3 linked regions of the Tamandua tetradactyla genome follow. The protein of the gene in region 3 purifies or fractionates together with the protein of the main gene of each other region. This does not show direct contact. Links are inferred from orthologs where the notes say so. Each region holds a gene or a part of one and is shown on either strand. Other genes may lie near its edges.

The links.
Region 1: the proteins of MIA2 (region 3) and PREB purify together in Homo sapiens (affinity purification with western blotting; 3 studies listed by BioGRID and IntAct, with this or other methods). This does not show direct contact. The link is inferred for Tamandua tetradactyla from reciprocal best matches to the Homo sapiens genes MIA2 and PREB.
Region 2: the proteins of MIA2 (region 3) and MIA3 purify together in Homo sapiens (affinity purification with western blotting; 6 studies listed by BioGRID and IntAct, counting the BioPlex papers as one, with this or other methods). This does not show direct contact. The link is inferred for Tamandua tetradactyla from reciprocal best matches to the Homo sapiens genes MIA2 and MIA3.

Annotation. Positions count from the first base shown.
Region 1 is NC_135329.1:10,898,029-10,905,522, reverse strand, and holds the start of PREB (guanine nucleotide-exchange factor SEC12), read left to right. Parts: upstream 1-4,450; 5' UTR 4,451-4,677; coding exon 4,678-4,812; intron 4,813-5,367; coding exon 5,368-5,560; intron 5,561-5,729; coding exon 5,730-5,950; intron 5,951-6,139; coding exon 6,140-6,220; intron 6,221-6,327; coding exon 6,328-6,452; intron 6,453-6,617; coding exon 6,618-6,791; intron 6,792-6,896; coding exon 6,897-6,969; intron 6,970-7,155; coding exon 7,156-7,315; intron 7,316-7,494. Other genes in the region: PRR30 (proline-rich protein 30), read left to right, coding at 1,547-2,779.
Region 2 is NC_135330.1:83,194,054-83,201,390, forward strand, and holds the start of MIA3 (transport and Golgi organization protein 1 homolog), read left to right. Parts: upstream 1-4,255; 5' UTR 4,256-4,287; coding exon 4,288-4,420; intron 4,421-7,337.
Region 3 is NC_135340.1:14,287,254-14,294,360, forward strand, and holds the start of MIA2 (melanoma inhibitory activity protein 2), read right to left. Parts: upstream 3,059-7,107; 5' UTR 2,861-3,058; coding exon 2,746-2,860; intron 1,169-2,745; coding exon 1,035-1,168; intron 1-1,034. UniProt on the Homo sapiens protein: Plays a role in the transport of cargos that are too large to fit into COPII-coated vesicles and require specific mechanisms to be incorporated into membrane-bound carriers and exported from the endoplasmic reticulum.

The sequences.
Region 1 (7,494 bases), on a different chromosome or scaffold from region 3:
AGGAAAGCAGAAAGCTGAAGGGAGGGATTAGAGAAGCTGTATGGTCGGTGAGAAGCAGAAGGCCATGGAGGAGGCAGTGGACGCGCCAAAGTATACGGGCAGAGAGCTGAGGCAGGGGCCAGGGCACCCAAGAACCTCAAAGGCGTCACAGTTTTGTCAAAGCCAGCCTTTGGATTCTATGACATCAGCACCTGACCTTGTGACATAAGCACTAGATGCCAGGGAGAACTGTCCCCAGGGAATGGAGCCCCCAGCTCCCAATGGGGGCGGTTCGCCACCACTTGGATAAAGTCTCAGTCTCCCAGAGGCTCTGCATCTGCTGGCCCCACTGCTGCTCCTGCTGCTGCCACTGTTGAGCGTGATAAGCCATCCCAGCCAGGGCCAGGCTGAGCAGGAGGACATCAGCATCGGGGGCAACGAGGAGTCAGGGGAACCGCAGTGGCAGTATGCGTGCAGAATCCCTGATTCAGGTTTAGAAGAAAAGAAATCTGTAACACAGAAGACTTCTGTTTGGCTAAAGGAAGATTGAGGGCAAGTCCCAGACAGAATCTGGATTAGCCTGAGTTTAAGGTGACAGACGCTGGGGGCAGAGAAGGTTAGATCCGGTTTAGTGTCTCTGTTCCTTCTTTCTCAGGTTCCCGCATCACGGGAAGTGCCTTGTGAAACAGTCCAGAGGAACTGTCTCTGGTAAGAGCTCAAAGTACCACAGCATCCTCAATTTCTAGTTCCATCTCAACCCCCAGCCCCAAGCCCACTCCTCCAACTCCACCCTCTCTCACTTCCTGCTCCTCTCCTCCCCACTTCTCACCTTCCCTGAAACATTTTGTCAGTTCTTCCCACCCCAAAGACTAATGTGAATTTAGGGTCTTGGTGAGCTCAGCCTGGAATGGGCACACAACACAGACTAGAGAGGAATTAAAGTCCCCCTTGGGAAGTTCAGGGGCCACTGTAGTCCATCTAACTCCACAAGAGTAGAGAAATGGCTCTGGAGCTGGGGTAAAAAAAATCACAGGTCATAAACCCTTGAAACTAGGACAGCCAGAGACCACCTTGTCCCAAGCCCTCATCTGTGGAAGGAAAAAAACAGGCCCAAGGAGGGAAAGTGGTTTGTCTAAGGACATCCCAAAAGTGAGGAGCAGGATAGAAACAGACCAATTCACCCAACATCTTGGCGCTCTCCATTTCTCCACAGGTTCTATGGGCTGTGTCCTCCTCCCTGCCCCACCCTGAAAATCTCCATTGTCCCACAGCTCCCAAGAGGCTGCTCTGATTCTCCATCATCATACACCCTGCATCAATGGCTTACTGCCAAGAAGAGAGAGGTCAAGCTTAGACCCACATTCCTGCCTGAGCACTCCAGGGAGCCTGGTCCTACAGGGGTAGGAGTCTCCTTGGCCTGTCACCTGCCCCAGGCTGGAGCCACACTTTGTGCGGAGAAGGCGGCCTTGATTTCTCGGCCACATCTAGCTTCAGAGATATCAGTCCTGCCTCTGCCAGGTTTCTAATCCCTGGTGTCATCACTCCAGTTCCTTCTGGATTCAAGGCAATGTTTCCTCAAAACAAGGACCAGGTGCAGCTACAGAACACAGTGTCCTCTGGGCCTTCCCCTGAGGGCCTCTCAAAATTTGTGGACTCTTCTCCCCCCAACCTACAGCCTCCCTGTTCCCCTCAGTCAGTGCCTTCCTCCCGCCCACATTTCTCCTCTTCTCCTCAATCCCATCTCCCCGGCTCTTCTCTCCCTCAGTCCTATTCTCCCCACTCACATTTCTACTTTTCAGACTCAAATTCTGACTCTTTCCTACATCCATACTTTCGTTCTCTCCCAAGTTCCCCCACTTTCTTTCAACAGAATCCCCCCTCGCCCTTCCTTCCACGTTCTTCCTCTCCCCCTCATACTTGTTCCTCTCCCTCTCAGCCACTGAACTCCTCTCTCCCCAACTCACATTGCCACGCTCCTTCACATCTGGAAGACCTACCTAGCTCCACTCTCCCTTCTCCAAGCCCCAGCCTGTCTTCTCCTGGGGTCCACTCCAACAGGCAGACATGGCCCTGGCATCAGCACAGGGACACCGGGGCCCCTGGGGTGGTGGGGGGATGCATACCAAGCGAGAGGGACCCTGCGGAATTCAGGGACCCGGGGGCCCTTGTCCAGGCCCTGGTGGTCCAACTGGGGCACCGCCGCATTGCGCACGACCTGCAGTTACTGCTTTTGCAGCGTCTGTGGCTAGGCAGAACAGGCCGGGCCCCAATAGTGGAGTATCCCATATGCCTGGTGTGTCTCCGGCTGCGCAGCCCCTCCTGCCCCATCCCCAGGTACAGGACCGGGCCCAAGCTGCTCGCTTTTCCCCAACTATTGCCCTGTGCACAGGGCCAGGACTCTGGGCCGCTCCACATAGGCATCGGCTTCGGCCTCCGGCTGCCTCGGGGCCAAGCCAGGGCATTAAATCTGTTGCCAGAAAGAAAATCGGAGCTGGCGGGGCATCAGGGCGAGGCCACTCAGGCTCCTGGCTATCAAGCCCAGGCACCTCAGGCCCCAGCAGTGCAGTCCCCAACATCTCAAGCCCCAGAGGCTCAGGCCCAGGCAGATCCATCCCCAGGCACACCCTCCCAGACCGGGAGCCCCAGGTCTCCAGGCCCTCACTCACCAAACACCATCCTCTGCTCAGGGCTTCCACCCCAGGCACCAAAACAGGTCTCTGCCTCCCCGAAGCCCAGGCATTCCCCTGTCCCAAAGAGGCCTGCCTCTCTAGAGCACATACCCCAAAAGTTATCATTCTAGTTTCAGAGCCACGGAGGCTCACTGGAACGCCCCCTCCAAACCCAACCCTTCCTGCCAGGTCCCAAATCTGTAGGACTTCCGGAGACACTTTGAAGGGCTGGTTGGCTGGGGGCCAGGTGTGTTCTCCAGCCTTGAACCCTGGAAGCCCCTTATGGAGTCTGCTCTCTCCTGGCTGAAGAGGACCAAGGGCACCAGAGCCCCTATTCAGCCTTCAGTATACCCAATAAAGCCTGACCCCGCAAAACTCCTGTTTGTGTCCTGTTGAGTAGATAGATTGGGTGGCTGTATCTACAGGAGCACCAGTCACCACAGGGGCCTCTGAGGGGTACACTTCCTTTCAAAGGAAGGTGTGGCAAGAAAGCCAGAACCATGTACTTGAGGAGGGCAAAGGACTCGCAAGGCCTGACCACCTGGAATGTAAGGACAGCTCTGCCAGACCCTTCACATTGGATTCAAGACCATGAGGCAGATTCTGGCATCCCCAAGATGAACCTACTGGACTTATTCCTCTGGATGTGCGTTGGGTTAACACAAATGCCTGTTGAGGTAAGCAGTTCCACAAGCCGGAAAGGGCATTCCTAGCATCCATTCACGGGGGAACACGCAGGTCCTCAGGAGACCAGAAACCCTCAGGACCCCTCACGCCACTGGTGCAGGAGTGGGAGGGTGAAGCCACAAGAAAGGTAACAGGAGACGCCCACTGATGCTAACCGTGAAGGACAAGCGTTTGGCTAAGGTAGATAGTGGTTTTCTCTTATTATGAAGTAGCAGGTTCCCATTTGAAGTCAGGATTGTGAAAAGGTTAAATTACAGCTTAGGGCAACCACCACCCATCCCCTTTAAATTAGGTAAGACTCAGAGATGCCTCCTTGTTTACTTGTAACAAGGCTGCACACAGACTCTCCACATTCCCATTCTTTGTTTCATAAATGCCCAGCTGAACAGCTCGTGCCCGCTGACCAATCACAACCAAATGCTTGTTGACCAATCTTTGGTTAAGCTTCTCATCTCTCAGACCCCTGAACTTTAAGGGCACCTCCCAGAAAGCAGGCTGCTTCGGCATTAGTATTCTCTGACCTACCGTCTGATCAGTCAACAGTTCATCCCACTTCCCTACGCCCGGTTCTTTCAGTTCTTTAAAAAGAAAACCTTTTCTGCCTAACTCATATTGCAAAACAGTCCCCTCCTCCTATTGCAATAGTCCCTTTCCGCCTTACAGCAATCCTTTTGAATAAAAGCTTTCCTTATCAAGTCCGGATTTGTTTTTTAATCGACTTCTGTCGGATTTTAAAGTCCGTGCTGCCTCTTTCATGAGGTAAGAGAGGTGGACAGGGTTCTAGTGTGTGATCTTGGACAAATCACTTCCTCTCTGGGGTAAAATGGAAAGGCTGCGTTTGTACGAGTCAGTGTATCACCCCCGAAACGCGAACAGCCCTACCAAAGATGTCTTTATTAAAGGTTTATTAACTTTGACTAGACTCACCGCCTCAGATTCCTAGCCCCCACGGAGATTCCCTCGAAGAGGCGCGCCCCGCCGCCCCGCACAAAGATGGCGGAATCTGTCTTCACAAGGGGGCGGCGAACCACAATTCCGGCGCCAGCGTTGCGTCGCCCCGCCGCCGGCTAGTGCTGACGCGTATTGGCGATTCTGCGCTTGCGCAGAGAGCCCTGGGGTAGGTGCGCGTGCGCACTGCGTGTGTGGGAAAACCGGGGTAGGCGGATCCGCGGTAGAGACGCGAGTTGTCAAGAGTTTTGATAACCTCGCGGTGTTAGAGGAGCCGGGGTTCTTCCCCGGGGCGACGCGACAGAGTTTACCAGCGACCCGGGCGGGAGTCGAAGCCTGGGCGAGGCATGTCCGGAGGGCCACGTAGCGGGCTGTGAAGCGCGCAGTAGGCGGGATGGGCCGGCGCCGGGCGCTGGAGCTCTACCGGGCCCCGTTCCCGTTGTACGCGCTTCAGGTCGACCCCAGCGCGGGGCTGCTCATCGCTGCGGGTGGAGGAGGCGCCGCCAAGACAGGCATAAAGAATGGCGTGGTGAGTGCACCGTTGCAGGGCCAAGCCGTGGGCCAAGGGTGATTCTGAGGTAGGCCAGGGGTTGTCGGGGCGGGCCGTAGTACATGCTCGAACTCTGCCTATCCTCCGTGGGGATTCCCGGCCAGCCAGGTGCCTAGGCCCGAGTATCACCGGAGAACTAACTCACCAGGCAGTCGAGAGGGGTAGTGGAAATCGCGCACGGCGCTGCGTAAGGCAGGGGCACTTCAGCTCGACCTCAGGAGCAACTCCCAGGGTCTTATCCTGTCCTTTTCCGGGTAAGGCACAGGGACGTTTGTGCCCTCTAGCAGCTACCGGAGTTGCGCCTTTGACTTTTAGACCAGGTTCCTTCACTTTTCTGAGCATCATCCTGTCCTGGAAACTGGAGATAAACCCAGCCCTGCTTGTTGTCCAGATAGATATAAGGCCCAAATAAGATAAGAACTAGAGAAAGCCTCCTGAACTAATAAGTGCAGTAAGCAAAGGGGTCAGACCTTTGCCCTTGAGGTGCTCTCTGGTCACCCCGAACCTTGCTCATCCTGGTTCCCTCTCCTGCAGCACTTTCTGCAACTTGAGCAGATTGATGGGCACCTGAGCGCCTCCTTGTTACACTCCCATGACACAGAGACACGGGCCACTATGAACTTGGCACTGGCAGGTGACATCCTTGCTGCAGGGCAGGATGCCCACTGTCAGCTCCTGCGCTTCCAGACTCATCAGCAGAAAAGCAACAATAAGGCAGAGAAGGCAGGTGAGGACTCTCTTTTCTAGCCCTTTGGGAAATTAAATGAGTCAAATCCTTTCCAACGTGGTCTCAAAAGAACTGTGGCTGGAAGTGGGGTTATGGTTGTGGGCTGGAAACTGGGTGGTCACCTGACATGCAGAGATATCTAGGACCCAGAAGGCTGTTTGTATTGCAGGTTCCAAGGAGCAGGGGCCTCGACAGAGGAAGAGGACTGCCTCGGCACAGCAGAAATCTGGAGCAGAAACCCACCATGAGGGGGTAGAACTCAGTGTAGAAAATTTGCAGGCTGTGCAGACAGATTTCAGCACGGATCCGCTACAGAAAGTTGTTTGCTTCAACAACAATAATACCCTGCTTGCCACTGGAGGGACAGATGGCTACGTTCGTGTCTGGCAGGTGGGGTTTTGGGGGTTAAGGAGGATGAGTATCAGGAGCAGCAAGGCCAAAATTGTTGGAAATTAAGTGGAGGTTTTAAGAAACTTGTGAGTAGGCCTGCACTGAGTGACCATTAAAGGAGGAAAGGGCTGGGGGTCATTGTGCCCTTTTTGAGTACCTGGGCTGACTGTGGTGGTGGTTTGGCTGCAGGTACCTAATCTGGAGAAAGTTCTGGAGTTCAAAGCCCATGAAGGGGAGATTGAAGACCTGGCTTTGGGGCCTGATGGCAAGGTGAGGAGGTGGGGGATAGAGGGGTGGACAAAGTAGGTGTTTAATGCTGCTTGCCCAGTGAGTGGATCCCCTAACTGCCTGTCCTTGGAATCTTTATTCCTAACTAGTTGGTCACTGCGGGCTGGGACTTTAAGGCCTCCGTGTGGCAGAAAGATCAGCTGGTGACACAGCTGCACTGGCAAGAGAATGGACCCACCTTTTCTAACACACCATACCGCTATCAGGCCTGCAGGTGCAAAGACCTTGGAGGGTGGCTAAAAGAGGCACAGACCAGATGTAGTAGGGGAGTGGGTAAAGATGCAGGGGAAACTGGGAAGGACTATGGTCTTGGGGGTGTTAGCTGAAGCCTGACCAGTTTGGCCCCAGGGAGCTGAACAGTTTCTCTTCCGGCCCCCAGGTTTGGGCCAGTTCCAGACCAACCTGATGGGCTACGACTCTTCACAGTGCAGATTCCCCACAAGCGCCTGCGCCAGCCTCCACCCTGCTACCTCACAGCCTGGGATGGCTCCACCTTCTTGCCCCTTCGGACCAAGTCCTGTGGCCAGGAAGTTGTCTCCTGCCTCAGCATCAGGTGTGAGGCAGTGGTGGCTTGGCCGGGTGCTGGGGAAGGCGCTGGTGGCGATTGAGGGTGTCTCACAGGCCTCCAGGACAGTGAGCACTTTATTTTTTGTTGCAGTGAATCGGGCACCTTCCTAGGCCTGGGCACAGTCACTGGCTCTGTTGCCATCTACATAGCATTCTCTCTCCAGGTAATGGGTGAAGGTGGGCACAGCCTGAGGACTCTTTGGAGTGGGGACTTCAGAACTGCCGCTAACCTGAGTATACAGGAAGGAATCTGGCACAGTCTAGAGGGAAAGCCTATTGAGGGCAGGGGACTTGTTTCTGAGAGAATTCCTACCTGGGCTTCCCCTCACTAGTTCTCCTCCCACCCCCAGCGCCTCTACTATATAAAGGAGGCCCATGGAATTGTGGTGACAGACTTGGCCTTTCTGCCTGAGAAGGGTCGTGGTCCAGAGCTCCTTGGGCCCAATGAAACTGCCCTGTTCTCTGTGGCTGTGGACAGTCGTTGCCAGCTGCACCTGCTGCCCTCACGGAGTGAGTCACTGGGGAGTTTGGGGTGTGAGGGTGTGGAGGGGAGGATACCACTGCACCTTCAGGTATAGCAAAAACTTGCCCCGTGGAGAATGCGCTGCTTGACTGTAGCCATCTAGCCCCCTCCTTGAATGGACTGAGTTGAGGGGTCTCTTCTTCAGGCTGAGAAGCCCCTTTGCATG
Region 2 (7,337 bases), on a different chromosome or scaffold from region 3:
TTCTCTGAATGATGATTGTTTTATCATTGGCAACGGACTAAGTTCTTTCTGATGACTTAACTGTGAGATCATCTAAACATTCCTCGGAAACACTATGGCAGGTGTACAGTGACACACGTTATTATGCTCTGACTGGTTTCAGATGTAGCATCCTTGTCTTTTCAATCAGACTACAACTGCAAATTCTCTGAGGTCAACGGCTCTCCATTTCTTCTATTTCCAATCTCCCTCCCCCTGCTCAAGAACCCAGTAGAGTCTGAATCTCACTGTAGGTACTCAAAATGAAACTGATTGTAGCCAGTTATTTCTAATTAGCTATTATAAACCCAGAATTAGATACTTTTTTTGGTATGCTGTTTGGCGGGGTCACATTTCATTGTTTTCCCATGTGAGTATCCCGTTATTGCATCACCATTTGCTGAATTTTGTTTGTTTGTTTTGCTTATTTGATTGTTTTTGGGGAAGTGCACCGGCCAGGAATCGAACCCGGGTCTCTTGGATGGCAGGTGAGAATTCTACCACTGAACTCCCCTTGCTCCTCCAGATACATTTATTTTTAACCAGAACTCAACCTAAACCCTACCTGACATATTAATAAATACTTGGGATTTGAATTTATGTTGATTAAACATCAATACTACCTACTCAAATGCTAAGAGTAGAAATGATTGCTGATTCATTCACTAATTATACATGCTGGTAAGAAGCACTGCTACTCCCTTGCCTCTGGCGTGGTCAGCTGGAATTTCTTTTCTGATTATCCAACAAGCTTGTCAGCATATTAATATAGCTTGAAGGTAATAAACCCTGGAAAATCTATAAGCTGGGGAGTCAGTTCTCCAGCAACTGGGAGCCGTGACCCTCATATACAGGTGTATCTGAATACTAGCCAAAGTACATGTGAGGTAAAATAAGACTAAGTTACCTCATTTTGAAACTTTGCTTCAACTAATGAACTGTCATGTAATTCTACTCTAAAAAGAAAAAAGAAAGACTAAAACAACTTCACTTTCTTTAATATTCTTGTGGTATAATGGGGAAAAAAGTACAGTATGATTTCATTTGCTTCCTCCACAACTTATATGCCCTTATTTAACAATAAATATATTCCAGATTCTGTTCCCGGTGCTGAGGTTTCTCCTGGGGGAGGGAGGACAGGACACAAAATGACTTATTCTCCTGTCACGCTCCCCCTTAGTACTCTTTCCATATCAAAGCTTTGCTTAGGTTAAGAGGAGTATCTACTGATACTGTGTGAGGATCATGTGTTCATCCGACACATTATTTGTTGAGAACTTCATGCACATCAGGCATTTTCCTGGGCACTGAGGTAATAGCACTGAACAAACAAATTCTCTGCTTCTGCAGAGCTTATATTTGGGCTAAGGAGGCACTCAAGTAGTTAAATGTTAAATTATGCTCTAAGAAAAAAAAAAGCAGGGCGACAGGCTAGATAATCATGAAGGGCAGCTCTGTTTTAAGCAGGGTGGTCACAGATGGCCTCTCTATTAAGGTAGATATGGCACTGTTACTGAGCCTTGGCACTGTTACCCAGCCTCGATGAAGGGAGGGAACTAGTTAGCTGGGGAGACCACCGGGAGAAGTGTTACAGGTTGAGGGAGGACAGCAAGTGCAAACGCTCTGAAGCAGGGCTGGTCTTATCTGTTTGGGTGGAACAGAGTACGTGGAGAGGAAATGGGAGTCGAGCAAAGGAAGTCAGATCCACTAAGGAAGTGCAGGCCGCAGTAAAGACATTGGATTTGCCATAGGAAGGAACTGCGGAGGGAGGGGGGATGGCCAGATTTATGTCACAGATGTATCACTCCGGTGGCTATGAGGACTAAGACTCTGGGCAGACAAGCGCAGGGTGAGGGAGAGCAGTGAGAAGGCTGTTACAACATCAGCTGAGAGACAGGGTCTTGCTAACAGTGTTAGCCTAGCAGACCGTGAGAAGTGGCCAAATTCTGGATATAGTTAAAATGATTATACTGAGTGAAAGAAACCAGCCAAAAAAGAATACATACTGTATGACTCCATTTATATCAAACTCTAGAATATGCTGACTCATCTATAGCTATAGAAGGTTGTGTGGAGGAAAGCAGGAGAGGGAAACAAGGATTACAAAGGGGCACAAAGACTCTTTTGAGGGTGATGGGTATGTTCACTATACTGAGTGTGGTGATTGTCTTACCACATAGGTGTGTACATATGTCAACCAAACCTTATCAAATCATACACTTCAAATGCGCACAGTTAACTGTATGTCAACCATACGTCAACAGAGCTATTAAAATAAAGAGGGCACAGGATCGTCTGATGGATGGGATTTGGAGTGTTTGAGAAAGAGAGGTATTAGAATGGTTTGTAAACTTTTGGCTTGAGCACCTGCAAGATAGGAGCTGCCAAGATAAAGAAGACTGAAAACAGAAGGTTTGAGAAGGAAAATAAGTTTGGTTTTCAATACATTGAGTCAGAGATGCCTATAAGACATCCCTAAGATTCTAAAAAAACCACTTAAAAATAGTTGAAATGAAGAACTCCTAACAGTACCACCTCTTGGACAAAGAGCACCTCCCCTTGCCTTTACATACATTCTCCTAGAAGCTTCTGAACCACACTAGACCAAAGGGATTTCTAATGGCATGGCAGACAAACACCCGTGATCTTCTCTTTCCCACCTTTTCATGTGGATTTCACACATGGGACCACATTTTCCTTTGGCTGTAAAGGAATCCAGTTAGCTTGGGTTTGATCGGGTTGGAGGGTGATAAACACACTGAACTGAGTCTGCAGCTGAAAAGCCCCTGGCCAATGACAAATGAAAAATGCTCCAACCAAGATGGGAGCATTGTAGCCACTCGGCCCTGGGCTAACCTGCAGGTCTGTGCGCTTTTATATATACAGCACATGTAGATAATTTAGTTATATTACGATTTTGACAAGCTTTTCCTCCTTTACTCGGAAAGAAAATCCAAAAACTACTTGTTGCATCATGAAGAACTTACAGAAGTGTTTAAAAAGGCAGCTTTTAAGGTTGAAATCTTAGCTTCACTCAGCAGAGGTGTGACTGCGTTGACTTACTGTCACTAAAATGAAAAGTGATAGGATCTACTTTGGTAAGGTACTACAGTTGTGAGGATTACCTGAATTAATACACATAAAGACTTTGAAATAGCACCTGGGCATAAAGAGAGCACTCAATAAATATTAGCTCCTATTATTTCGTTTTCCTCTACTCTGATATTTATAACATTCGCTTTTATATTCATAATTTAATTGTTTTATATGTTAGTTATTTCCACTAAATTGTGGGCTTCTTTAGATAAGGGCCAGGATATCTTATTCATCTTTGACTGCCATCCTCTCCCCACATCCCCATGCCATGAAACAGAACCCAAACCATTTGTGTTGAATTAAACTACTTTTGCACTTAGCAAGAATGTCAAGATCTCAGCTAGCGACCCACTGCCCACCCCACATCCCCATCCCCTCCCCCGCCCCGAGGCTCAAATACAGGCCAAATAGGAACCTGGCTCTAGATCACTCCCGTGACCCATTAACTTCACGCACACACCCCTCTCCTTAGGGGACGGCCGCTAAGGAAGCGCTGGAGTCCGAAGGGTGGGCGCCCGAAGCCGGGGCAGACCGCGGACGCAGCCTGGGGCTCAGCAAAGGAGGCCCCAAACCTCGAGAGGATGGTGGGCGGGCCTGAGCTAGTTTGGGGTCAGACCAGAAAGCAGAAGCTGTAAGAACACTCCAGAAAAGACCTCCGCTGGGACGCTGCGGGATCAGGGGATCCCGACGTGCGGAGCGGGGAGTGCGACCAAGGGAGCCGGGCGGGGCGGGCGGAGAGGGCGGAGGGCGGCGGTCCGGGCGGCCGCGGCCCACGGCTTCGGGCTTCCGTCTCGGCGCCCCGCTCGCCCCTCTCCTTCAGCCCCCGCTGACGTGTCAGCAAGCGGCGTGCACCCCTCCAGGGCGCCGCGTGGCTCGTGCCGCCGCCCGCCCCGGCGCCCCCGCGGCCTCCTCCCGGCGCCCCCCCGCGGCCTCCTCCCGGCGCCCCCGCCCCGGCGCCCCGGCGCCCACCCGTCCTCCTCCCGGCGCCCACCCGTCCTCCTCCCGGCGTCCCCGCCCCGCCTCCGCGCCCACCCGGCCTCCTCCCGCCGTCCTCGCCCGCGCCCCGCCTACCGCCCGGCCGGCCTACCCCGCGCCCCGCCTCCGACCCGCCGCCCCCGCACCCCGCCCGCCCGGCCTCGTCCCGCGCCCCGCCTCCGCGGAGTTGGCCCCAACATGGCTGCGGCGCCGCGGCTGTTGCTCTGGCTGCTCGTGCTCGGGCGGCTATGGAGGGTGTGGGGCCAGCCGGACAGCAGCCCCGGCCGGCGCTTCTCGCGGCACAAGCTGTGCGCGGACGACGAGTGCAGCAGTGAGTGCGCCGTGTGCGGTGCCCCGGGGTCTCTGCTGCGGCGCCCCGGGGGCTGGCGCGGGGGCGGGGGGCTGGCGTGGGGACCCGAATCCGGCCACCCTTGCGGGCCTGGCTGGGGTGGGGTGGGGTTTGGGGGGGGTCGCCAGCCCGGTGTGTGGCGTGCGGAAGGGGGGTGCGCCCCTGTTCCTGCGTCTCTGCCTCGCCGTGCCGGCGCCAGGGCCTCTCGGCCTTGACGGTGGGGCTGTGCCTCCCACTTGTTGCCGGCGTTTTATTTGTCCTTTGCTGACTCGGGCGGGGGTGGCCCCCAGCTCCCCCACCCCAGCTCCCCAGGGCCACCCGCCGCGTCCCAGTAATCCGAGGGGAGATGGGTCTGCACCGCATCCGAGCGCTTGCCTGCGCCTCCGGGACCCGGTGGGTGCAGTCGCCAGGGGTGGATGCGCTTAGAGCTCGGCCGCCTGGTCGCAGGTTGCGGTGGGCTTGGGAAAGGCACGCTGACCCTTCATCCTCCGCCTTGCTGCTCGCCTGGGGTTTGGGGCTCGTTTGCCTTTTGAGCAGCGGGTAGAGTTCAGGTTTGATCCGGGCGCGGAGTCTTCCGAGATCTGCGCCCAGACTCTTGCTGTCCCATGCCATTTCTGTGCATGCAGGTCTCCTTGCACACTGCCAGTCAGGGCGCAGGAGCGCCGGCGTCTTTGGCTTTTGAAAGCGGCCACCTGGCAGTCTCTTTTCTTTGCGCAGGAAGCGGAATTGTTCCCTCTCCCGGATGGGGGTGGGGGGAGGAGGGGGGATGGGCTGCGGGGAGGGCAGAGACCCCTAGATGAAGAGGGTTTTTTAAGTAATAATGAAGACTTAGCCGTCTTAGAAGCCAGCTGGCATTAGCCTCAGCTCCTTGTGCTGTTGGAATCCCTTCCTACGTTTGCCGAACCAGGATCATTCTCAGGGTCTCCCGTCCGTTCTCAAATAACCTTATGACTTCTTCACCACCGCTATTAAAAAGCTTGTGCATACGTTGCAAGCAATACATATAGAAGAAATTTATAATGAGCAGACTAGGTAGCCTCAAGTTTACTGTTTATATTCAAATTGGTGTTATGCAAAAACAGATTTCTGAAGTTGAAGAGTTAATTTGCATTAAGCCATTCCTAGAGGTTTCTATAGGGCGAATGTAAGTAAACATTGTAACAGCAAAAACAACTTCCACGACTTCTTTTTCCTTCACTTTCCTCAAAGCGAAACTGGGCTATTAGCAAGCTAAGTTGAATATGCCAAAATGTTTGCTGTTTTTCGCGTCCAAGCCCTGCCCCACCTGACCTCCTGAACATAAGTGACCTGGAGAATCACATCACTGCCTCAGTACTGAGAAATGACCTGTGGGGTTGGAAGGGCCGACAGTTGTGTAACATAACTTGAGAAATGGTGTGTGTCCACACAGATATGACCAGACACAACAGGCGACAGCATGAGCAGGGCCTGGGTTGTGTGAAATAAGAGTTTGATAGGGTGGTGTGTGTTGTGTGTAAGGTGTCCTTGTGTGCTTGTCCGGCACCTGTTCCATAGTGTACACTGAGCGGGCACGTGATATGTGGTGTAAATCCTCACTGTCTGTTCTAAGGGGACAAGAGGAACACTGCCATTTCCAGTTCCGGAAGGATCCCTAGCCTAAATGTTCATCCCTTTTTTGGTTTTTGCCTGAGCTGGCACCGGGAATTGAACCCGGGTCTCCCATGTGGCAGGTGAGAACTCTGCCACTGCGCCACCGTTGTTCATCACTTTTAACCTTGCCTCTCGCCCACTCATATCTGAGTAAAGATGCTGACTTACTAAAATCGGAGTTTAGCTTCAAAAAATGAATTATCCTTTCCAAATCGATATGTTTGTCCCGCAAATATGTAGATACTTAAGTATTTTATTGCTAATTGTCTTTTGTTTTCCTAATTGGCTTTTTAAAAAAGTGTTATTTCCATTTCATCCTTTTCTCCCCTCTGCTATTTAAATACGTTTATTGGCCATTACATCAGAAACTGTATTTGGCCAACAAAAAGAAAAAAATACTGCCAGTTTCTAGATTGAATGTGATTTAAATCCTGCATTTTTAAGACTGAAGGCAGCAAACATCCTTAGAGCTTTTACTTGGTCCCTGCCACATGTGATGTCAGCTTTTGAATTTGTTTATAGAAAAATTAAAAAGGCGTTTCTTCCTTTGTTTTGAAATCTTCTTAATGTCAAATATAGTCAACGTTATTTACTTTGAGAAAATATCGCTTTGTGATGTGATTGGATCTCCAATATAGTGTGACATCGTCTCCTGTTAATTTATTCAGATAATGTGCAGAAAGAATAGCTTAATTGCAAATGAAACTAATAGTGTTTACTGCTGCATGATAGCAGCTACAGCCACTTAAAGGTAGTGCCTTTTAGTGGTTAGTTCACGTTTAATTGATCTCTTGGGGCTTCCTGGTTGCCCTTCCCAGTTCTCTATTAGCCCTGTGATGGCCGTACTAAAACTACTCAGCATCAGCACTTGATTATATTCATTTGAAAAATTTTTGCTTTTTATGTTTGAAACAGCAAAGATTGAGAATTAGAGGGTTGAATAGGGAACCAAGAACTTCACCAGCCAGTTGTGGTAATGGGCAGATGCCTTTCATTTTTTAAAAAATTTTTAATATTTCTATTGGCAAACATCAACACACGGGCACTCCAGCCATATCATACAATCAGTGGCTTACAATATCATCACCTAGTTGTGTATGCCTCACCATGATCATTTTTAGAATATTCACATGACTCCAGAAAAAGAAATAAAAAAAAGAAAAATAAAGAACTCATACATCCCATACCCCTTACCCCTCCCTCTCATTGACCACTAGTATTTCAGTCTGCCCAATTTTTATTCTTTATCTCTCTTTATTATTTATTT
Region 3 (7,107 bases):
TCACACATAGTGAGCAAAGAAGAATGCCTCCTTTGCCTCTTATGACACCAGCTGTGTTATTTTTCTCACAGCTGCATTGGATAGCTCCAGGCATTCAAAACAGATAATGGCAGATTTAAGGCAGCCCTGGGTAGTAAGGAATCTTGAGGGCTACAGAGTCAGACAAATAGTTGTGTCCAGAAGTAGTCAGAGGTTGTCATATAGGCCCTGATGGGAAAAAAACAGTGTTTCAAATAGAAGCTGCTACTTCAAACAGTGACCATAGCAGCAAATTGCATGAATAGTCAACATAGAAATGATAAATGTATCAGGTTGGTCATACTTGTTAAACTTTAGAGTAAAATCACTTACCATGGCATCTTTTTTATTATAAAGCATAATGACACAAAGACACAAACTTAATTTCAGTTGCAAACATTAATCATTAATTTTCGCATGTTATATAATCAGAAAGATGATTCAAGTTTCTAGGAATTTCAACGTACTAGGACTTTGAGCTACATGAAAGTCTTTCCTAGTTGTTATTTTTTCAATGAAAAATTCACACACCTAGCTTTTCTAGGCTGCTAGCCTTTCTTAGCATCTTAACTCAGTCCTTTATTTGCTCAGAAAGACATGTCTTTTAATTTGATTAAAATTTCCCAATCTTTCTTATACTTGATCATTGATAGCACTAAGGGGTGGCTGGGATTGCCTAACCATCCCATAATCTCCATCAGCATTCCTCAAATCACTTCAAATAAATATAAAATCTAAGTTTTTAAAAAATATGCATGCTAAATAAAATTAATTTCAAGGCATTTTCTTAGTCCTCTATCTCAACCAGACTGCTTCCCTAAAAGCCTTATTTATAGAAATTCTGAAACTACCACCAAATATGACCATTTGTGTGTGTGTTTAAATATGTTAAGGTGGTTTTTCAAAAATATTTATACAGTGCTTTGAAATTCTTAAAGTTCCTTTGGAGATATAAAGTAAGCAATTGTGCAAGCTGGTCATTTACTCTGCATTGTTTTTTAAGACTAGATACTTACACTTCCTGCCCACAAATCTTCCCTTTCTCCTGCAAGTTTAACATACACAGATATCTCTTCTCCCTTGGTGAAGTTCAGGTATCGGCAGTCAGATCCTCTGTAATCGCTCACGGCTAAGACTCTGCTTATTAAAGCTATGTAAACATGTAAAGAAAAACACATTTTAGATTAAAATGTCATTCCTCCCCCACCAGCCTTTCCCTCCTCCAATCCATGCTATAGAAGTTACCAAACACTAATTTCCTTATATATCACTTATGGCCACTTTGTATGACTGTACACAAAATAAAGTCTAAGCTCTATGACTTGATATCCAAGGCTGTCTTCCACCCTGTCCCACCTTCCCTATCTAAAGGGGCAGTACCTCCTTCTACCCTTTTATACAAACTCTTCTATCCACTGTCCCTGGAATATGTCACTACCAATCTCCAGGCTGTAGGAAAGGGAAGGAAAAGATAATCAGTTTGCTTCCTGGCACCTACTATATTCCGAGCATTCTGCTAAGCACCTTCATATTTATTATTTTACTAAATCCTCGAAACAGATCTGTAGGATAAATAATCTCATCTCAGTGTAACAAATGAACCTTTAACTAAGGCTCAGAGAGGTTCTTTCCACTGCAACATTCACCTTTCTTAGCCTGGACTGTTCTTTCTGCTCTTTCCTCAGCATAGAAACCCCTCCCTCTCTCTCCCTGTTCAATTCATATCCTACTTTTTCTGTATTGACCTGTATTGCCACCATTCACTAGAATGAGAGTACCTGAACCTTATCATCCATTTCATTTTGATTCCTCTTCTATGCATTCCTCCTGCCCCAGACCCCAGCCTACAGCAGGCCCTAAGTGGCTACGGATTATTCATAAACAAATATGCTGGATTTGTCCCTTCAATGCATGAAATAGTGTACATTCCATATTAACTATGATAATACTACTACTATGTGTAAAACACATTTGATTATACTGCAATTGTAATTTGATCAAAATAATATTATAATATTATTAATTATAAACATGAACGTTTCCATGTTCTGTGTCTGGCCCTAAGGATACTACAATGGGTTGTAACATAAAGAAGAAAACAAACATTATTAATATAAAACATTGTCTAGTAAACCTTCTCTGTATAATAAATTACATATCAAAATGTTAAGGAAAATGTTTACACATTTTTAGCTTATATACTATTGATGCTTATATTATGGCATGTTTAACTCTCATGTTGAATTTTTGTATCATAAATTAATAGAGAAATGATTAATTCTGATAAGGTTTAGATGGAATAAATCATGGTGGTTTGAAATAAAAACATTTTTAGCAAACTTATAAGAATAGGAAAATTCTGATTGTGAAATAGAAAGAATACAAGCATTTCATAAATAAAGTACTATCAAATGGAATGATTTTTTTACACAAAGCAAAATAACAAAGGCTGATTAATTTGGTTTTGAGGTATGAGCTAAAATAATTTCTGATTTATTTATATATCAGGCTGATCTTTGCCGCTTTGTATACTTACATTAATACTATCACAAAATGCCTTGTTTCCAGCATTTCTTTTTTATAGCAAGCTATAGTTTACAATTTCAAATATTTCTCAATAATATTAATGCCCATTTTTATCAAACGCATCCATCCAGAATGACGTATCCTGTCATTTCAGCCCCTTAATCAACTAAAGTGGAAAAAGAAAGAAAAAGGCAAACTTACTTTCACACTCCAAGTCACCACATTTTTTAAAGCCTGCCAGCAGTTTTGCGCTCTCCAGACTCTTTGTCAGAACAATAACCCAAAGGAGGATTCTGTGAACTGTGTGCTCCGCCATGCCGAAACCAGCATCCAAGACCCCCACACAAGGTTGACACCTACTGTAAAGGGTGTAGCTATGCCAGCCAACATGGGAAGTACCCTGTTTTCTTCACTAAATATAAGGAAAAAAGAGTAGGGTTTTAAAAATCCCTTGAAAACTACATTTTTCTATCAGTCTTTAGGCTTCACTTGAGAGACAAACATTCTCTGTTCTCAATCTGCAGTGTCAGTTATCCAGAGAATACATGAGAGATTAATAATTAACAGAGTTTTTTTTTTTTAGTTGGACTAGTGTCTTCATCAAGTTGACCCGTGCAAAGCCGTGTCATTTAAAGGCACCTTGCATTCAACAGGACAAGTCTTAAACAGGACAAGTCTTTCTCTCCAGAGAAAGGCAAATTCAATCTCGTCTTGTTAAAGTCTTCAGGTAGACCAGTCACCAACTACATCCCATCAGCGCGAGACATGTAGAAAAGTAATAATTTATGTTAAAAAGCATAAGTTGTGAAATGTCATGATAAAAGTTATTTGAAAAAAAAATAGCCCTCATTCATATTAAAAACTCTTCAGTGTCACTATGAGTTGAACATTGCCATATTTACTTAATAATAATAGTCAAAATATATTAAGTACTTACCATATTCCAGGTTCTGTTTTAAGCACTTATAAGTTGGTCATTTAACCTTAACACCAACTCTTTGTAGTAACATTATTGTCCCTATTTTTGCATAGGTGGAGACTGAGGCACATAGAAATAGGGTAAATCACTTGCCCAGTGTCACATACTGAGCAGTGGGGAAGGAATTTTAGCCTAGGCACTGTGCCTCTCTATAATTTTTTTTTTTAATTAAAAAAAAATACGACAAAGAAACACATTCTTAACATGTAATCATTCTGTCCTACGTATATAATTAGTAATTCACAATATCATCACATAGTTGCATATTCATCATCATGATCATTTCTTAGAATATTTGCATCAATTCAGAAAAGGAAATAAAAAGACAACAGAAAAAGAAATAAGATGAAAACAGAAAAAAAATTATGCATACCATACCCCTCACCCCTCCATTTCATTGATCACTAGCATTTCAAACTATATTTATTTTAACATTTGTTCCCCCTATTATTTATTTTTATTCCATATGTTCTACTCATCTATTGACATGGTAGATTAAAAGGAGCATCAGACACAGGGTTTTCACAATCACACAGTCACATTGTGAAAGCTGTATCATTATTCAATCATTATCAAGAAACATGGCTACTGGAACACAGCTCTACATTTTCAGGCAGTTCCCTCCAGTCTCTCCATTACATCTTGAATAACAAGGTGATATCTACTTAGTGCATAAGAATAACCTCCAGGACAACCTCTCACTCTGTTTGGAATCTCTCAGCCATTGACACTTTGTCTCATTTCACTCTTCCCCCTTTTGGTGGAGAAGTTTCTCTCAATCCCTTGATGTTAATTCTCAGCTCATTCTAGGGTTTTTCTCAATCCCTTGATGCTGAGTCTCAGCTCATTCTAGGATTTCTGTCCCACATTTCCAGAAAGGTCTATACCCCTGGGAGTCATGTCCCACGTAGACAGGGGGAGGGTGGTGAGTTTGCTTGTTGTGTTGGCTGGAGAGAGAGGCCACATCTGAGCAACAGAAGAGGCTCTCTTGGGGGTGACTCTTAGGCTTAATTTTAAGTAGGCTTGACCTATCCTTTGTGGGGTTAAGTTTCATATGAACAAACCCCAAGACTGAGGGCTCAGCCTACAGCCTCCCCATAATTTTAACCACTCTGCTTTATCATCAAGAATCAAATCATCTGCCTCAGAAAGAAATCTACTTTGTCTGCAGCGACACTATTCCAGAGCAGCAGTACGGAATGATTCCATGTATTTGAAATAGCATGCATATTTCTGTAAGTGGAGAGAAAATGCGAAAGTCATATCCGAAATAATGTTCCCTGATATGATAAGAATGTGTGGTGTGCTTTCAGGTTATATTCACTTTATTCTCTGTACTTTTCTATATTGCTTGACTCCCTTTTTTTAAAATCAGTGAGCATATATCATTTTCAAATAACAATACACTATGTGATGATATTGAGAATTACTGATTATATATATAGAACGAAATAATATGTTAATGTTTTTGTTTGTTCTTAATTTTTTAAATTAATAAATAAATAAATTTAAAAATAACAATACGGCTATTAAAATTGTTATTTGTTTTGGAGTAATGAAAATGCTCAAAAATTGAATGTGAGGACGAATGCACAACTATATGATGATGCTGTGAACCACTGATTGCACAATTTGGATGATTATATGGTATGTGAATATATAATATATCTCAATAAAATTGCATTTTAAAAAATCAAGTCATTTGAATGTTACTGTCACTTAATGAGAATCGAAGACCTATTTGAGAAATTTCTGTGTAAAACTCAAGATTCCAAGGTGCACGGGTGGTTCTGTGGTAGAATGCTCGCTTTCCATGCGGAAGACTGTATTTAATTCCCGGACCATGCACCCCCCAAAAAAACCCTCAAGATTCCAATAGATTAGCTGAAGTCATGGTTGCCCCATTTCAGTCTTGAGAAAATATTTTTTCCAAACTCTCCTTTGCTGGACATTTACACTGTATTGGGCACGCCAATATGTGCAAAACGTGTTTGCAGGAGCTCAGCCTCAAGTTAGAACCTTGCACTTGTGTGACACCACACTCCATCTAGTGACTGACACAAACAAGACAGATACCTGGGAGTGAGCAAGCTAACGTGAAGGACTTTTGTTTCAAGTCACTAAAAAGAAAAGAACACAATCATCAGTAGAAAGACTGATCTTTCAGTTCTAAGGTTTTTGCATCCTTAGAAAAAATCTGCTAGAGCACGCGGAGGGAGATGGCTCTGAATCTGGGTCACTGGGCTGGTCATCAGAGCACTGCATAGTTGCATGTACACCACACACAAAAAGTGTGGGTTAGTTTCTTGGATACCTTTGCAAATCTGTAAGCTATGTTGTCAAAGACATTTAAAGAAGGATCAGCTCTTCAACTCCAAAATGTGGCACAGGATTATTTGCACAATTTACATGATCGAATCTACTATCAAATCAAGAATATTTAGTAATCAGTGCAATCTAACTATCCTTATTTTGTACTCAGCATTAAGATATTACTGCTAAATCCTGAACTAATCAGTGTAGTCATGTTCTAAGTTAAAAGAGACGAGAGTCCATCTAAATTTAAGTCTGCTTAGTAATTGGCCTGAAGGAGATTTGAAATAAGAAAAAATGAGGAAAGTTCTTGCCAAGGTACTTGCCAGAAGACATCTGCTCCCACTTTATTGTTGCTTAATGCGAGAAAACCTCTTCCTGGGGCAGCCCACATCCAATGGCTAAGTAAGGAGGGAGTACAAAGATAGGGCCATTTCAGCCTGATGTGAAATACCCTGATGGCATTTCTCCCCCAAAATTGCCTGCTGCGTTGACCTGGACTTTATTAGACCTGCACTGCAGTTCAACTTCTGTCCGATCCTGCTGTCTCTCTGTTCTAGTTTGCTAGCTGCTGGAACACAATGTACCGGAATCAGAAGGTGTTTTAAAAAGGGGAATTTAATAAGTTGCTAGTTTACAGTTCTAAGGCTGAGAAAATGTCCAATTAAAACAAGTCTGTAGAAATGTCCAATCTAAGGCATCCATCCAGGGAAAGATACCTTGGTTCAAGAAGGCCTATGATATTCAGGGTTTCTCTCTCATCTGGAAAGGCACATGGCAAACACAGTCACAGTTTCTCTCTCGGCTGAAAGGGCACATGGTGAGCAAGGCATCATCTGTTACTTTCTCTCCTGGCTTCCTGTTTCATGAAGCTCCACGGGAGGCATTTTCCTTCTTTATCTCTAAAGGTCACTGTCTTGTGGACTCTCTGCTGTCTTGGCTATGTTGTTCTTCTCTGCTCTCTCTGAATCTCCTTCATTCCCCAAAATGTTTCCTCTTTCATCGGACTCCAGAAACTTCTCAAGACCCACCCAAATGGTGGAAACATGTCGTCATCTAATCCAGCTTGACAACCACTCTTGATTAAATCATATCATCCAGGGAGATGATCTAATTACAGTTTCAAACATGCAGTATTAAATAGGGATTATTCTGCCTTTATGAAATGGGATTTAGATTAAAACATGGCTTTTCTAGGGGACATACATCCTTTCAAACCAGCATCCTCTCCCTTCATTTCATAGTTGTTGATCGCCAATAAACACCTTGAA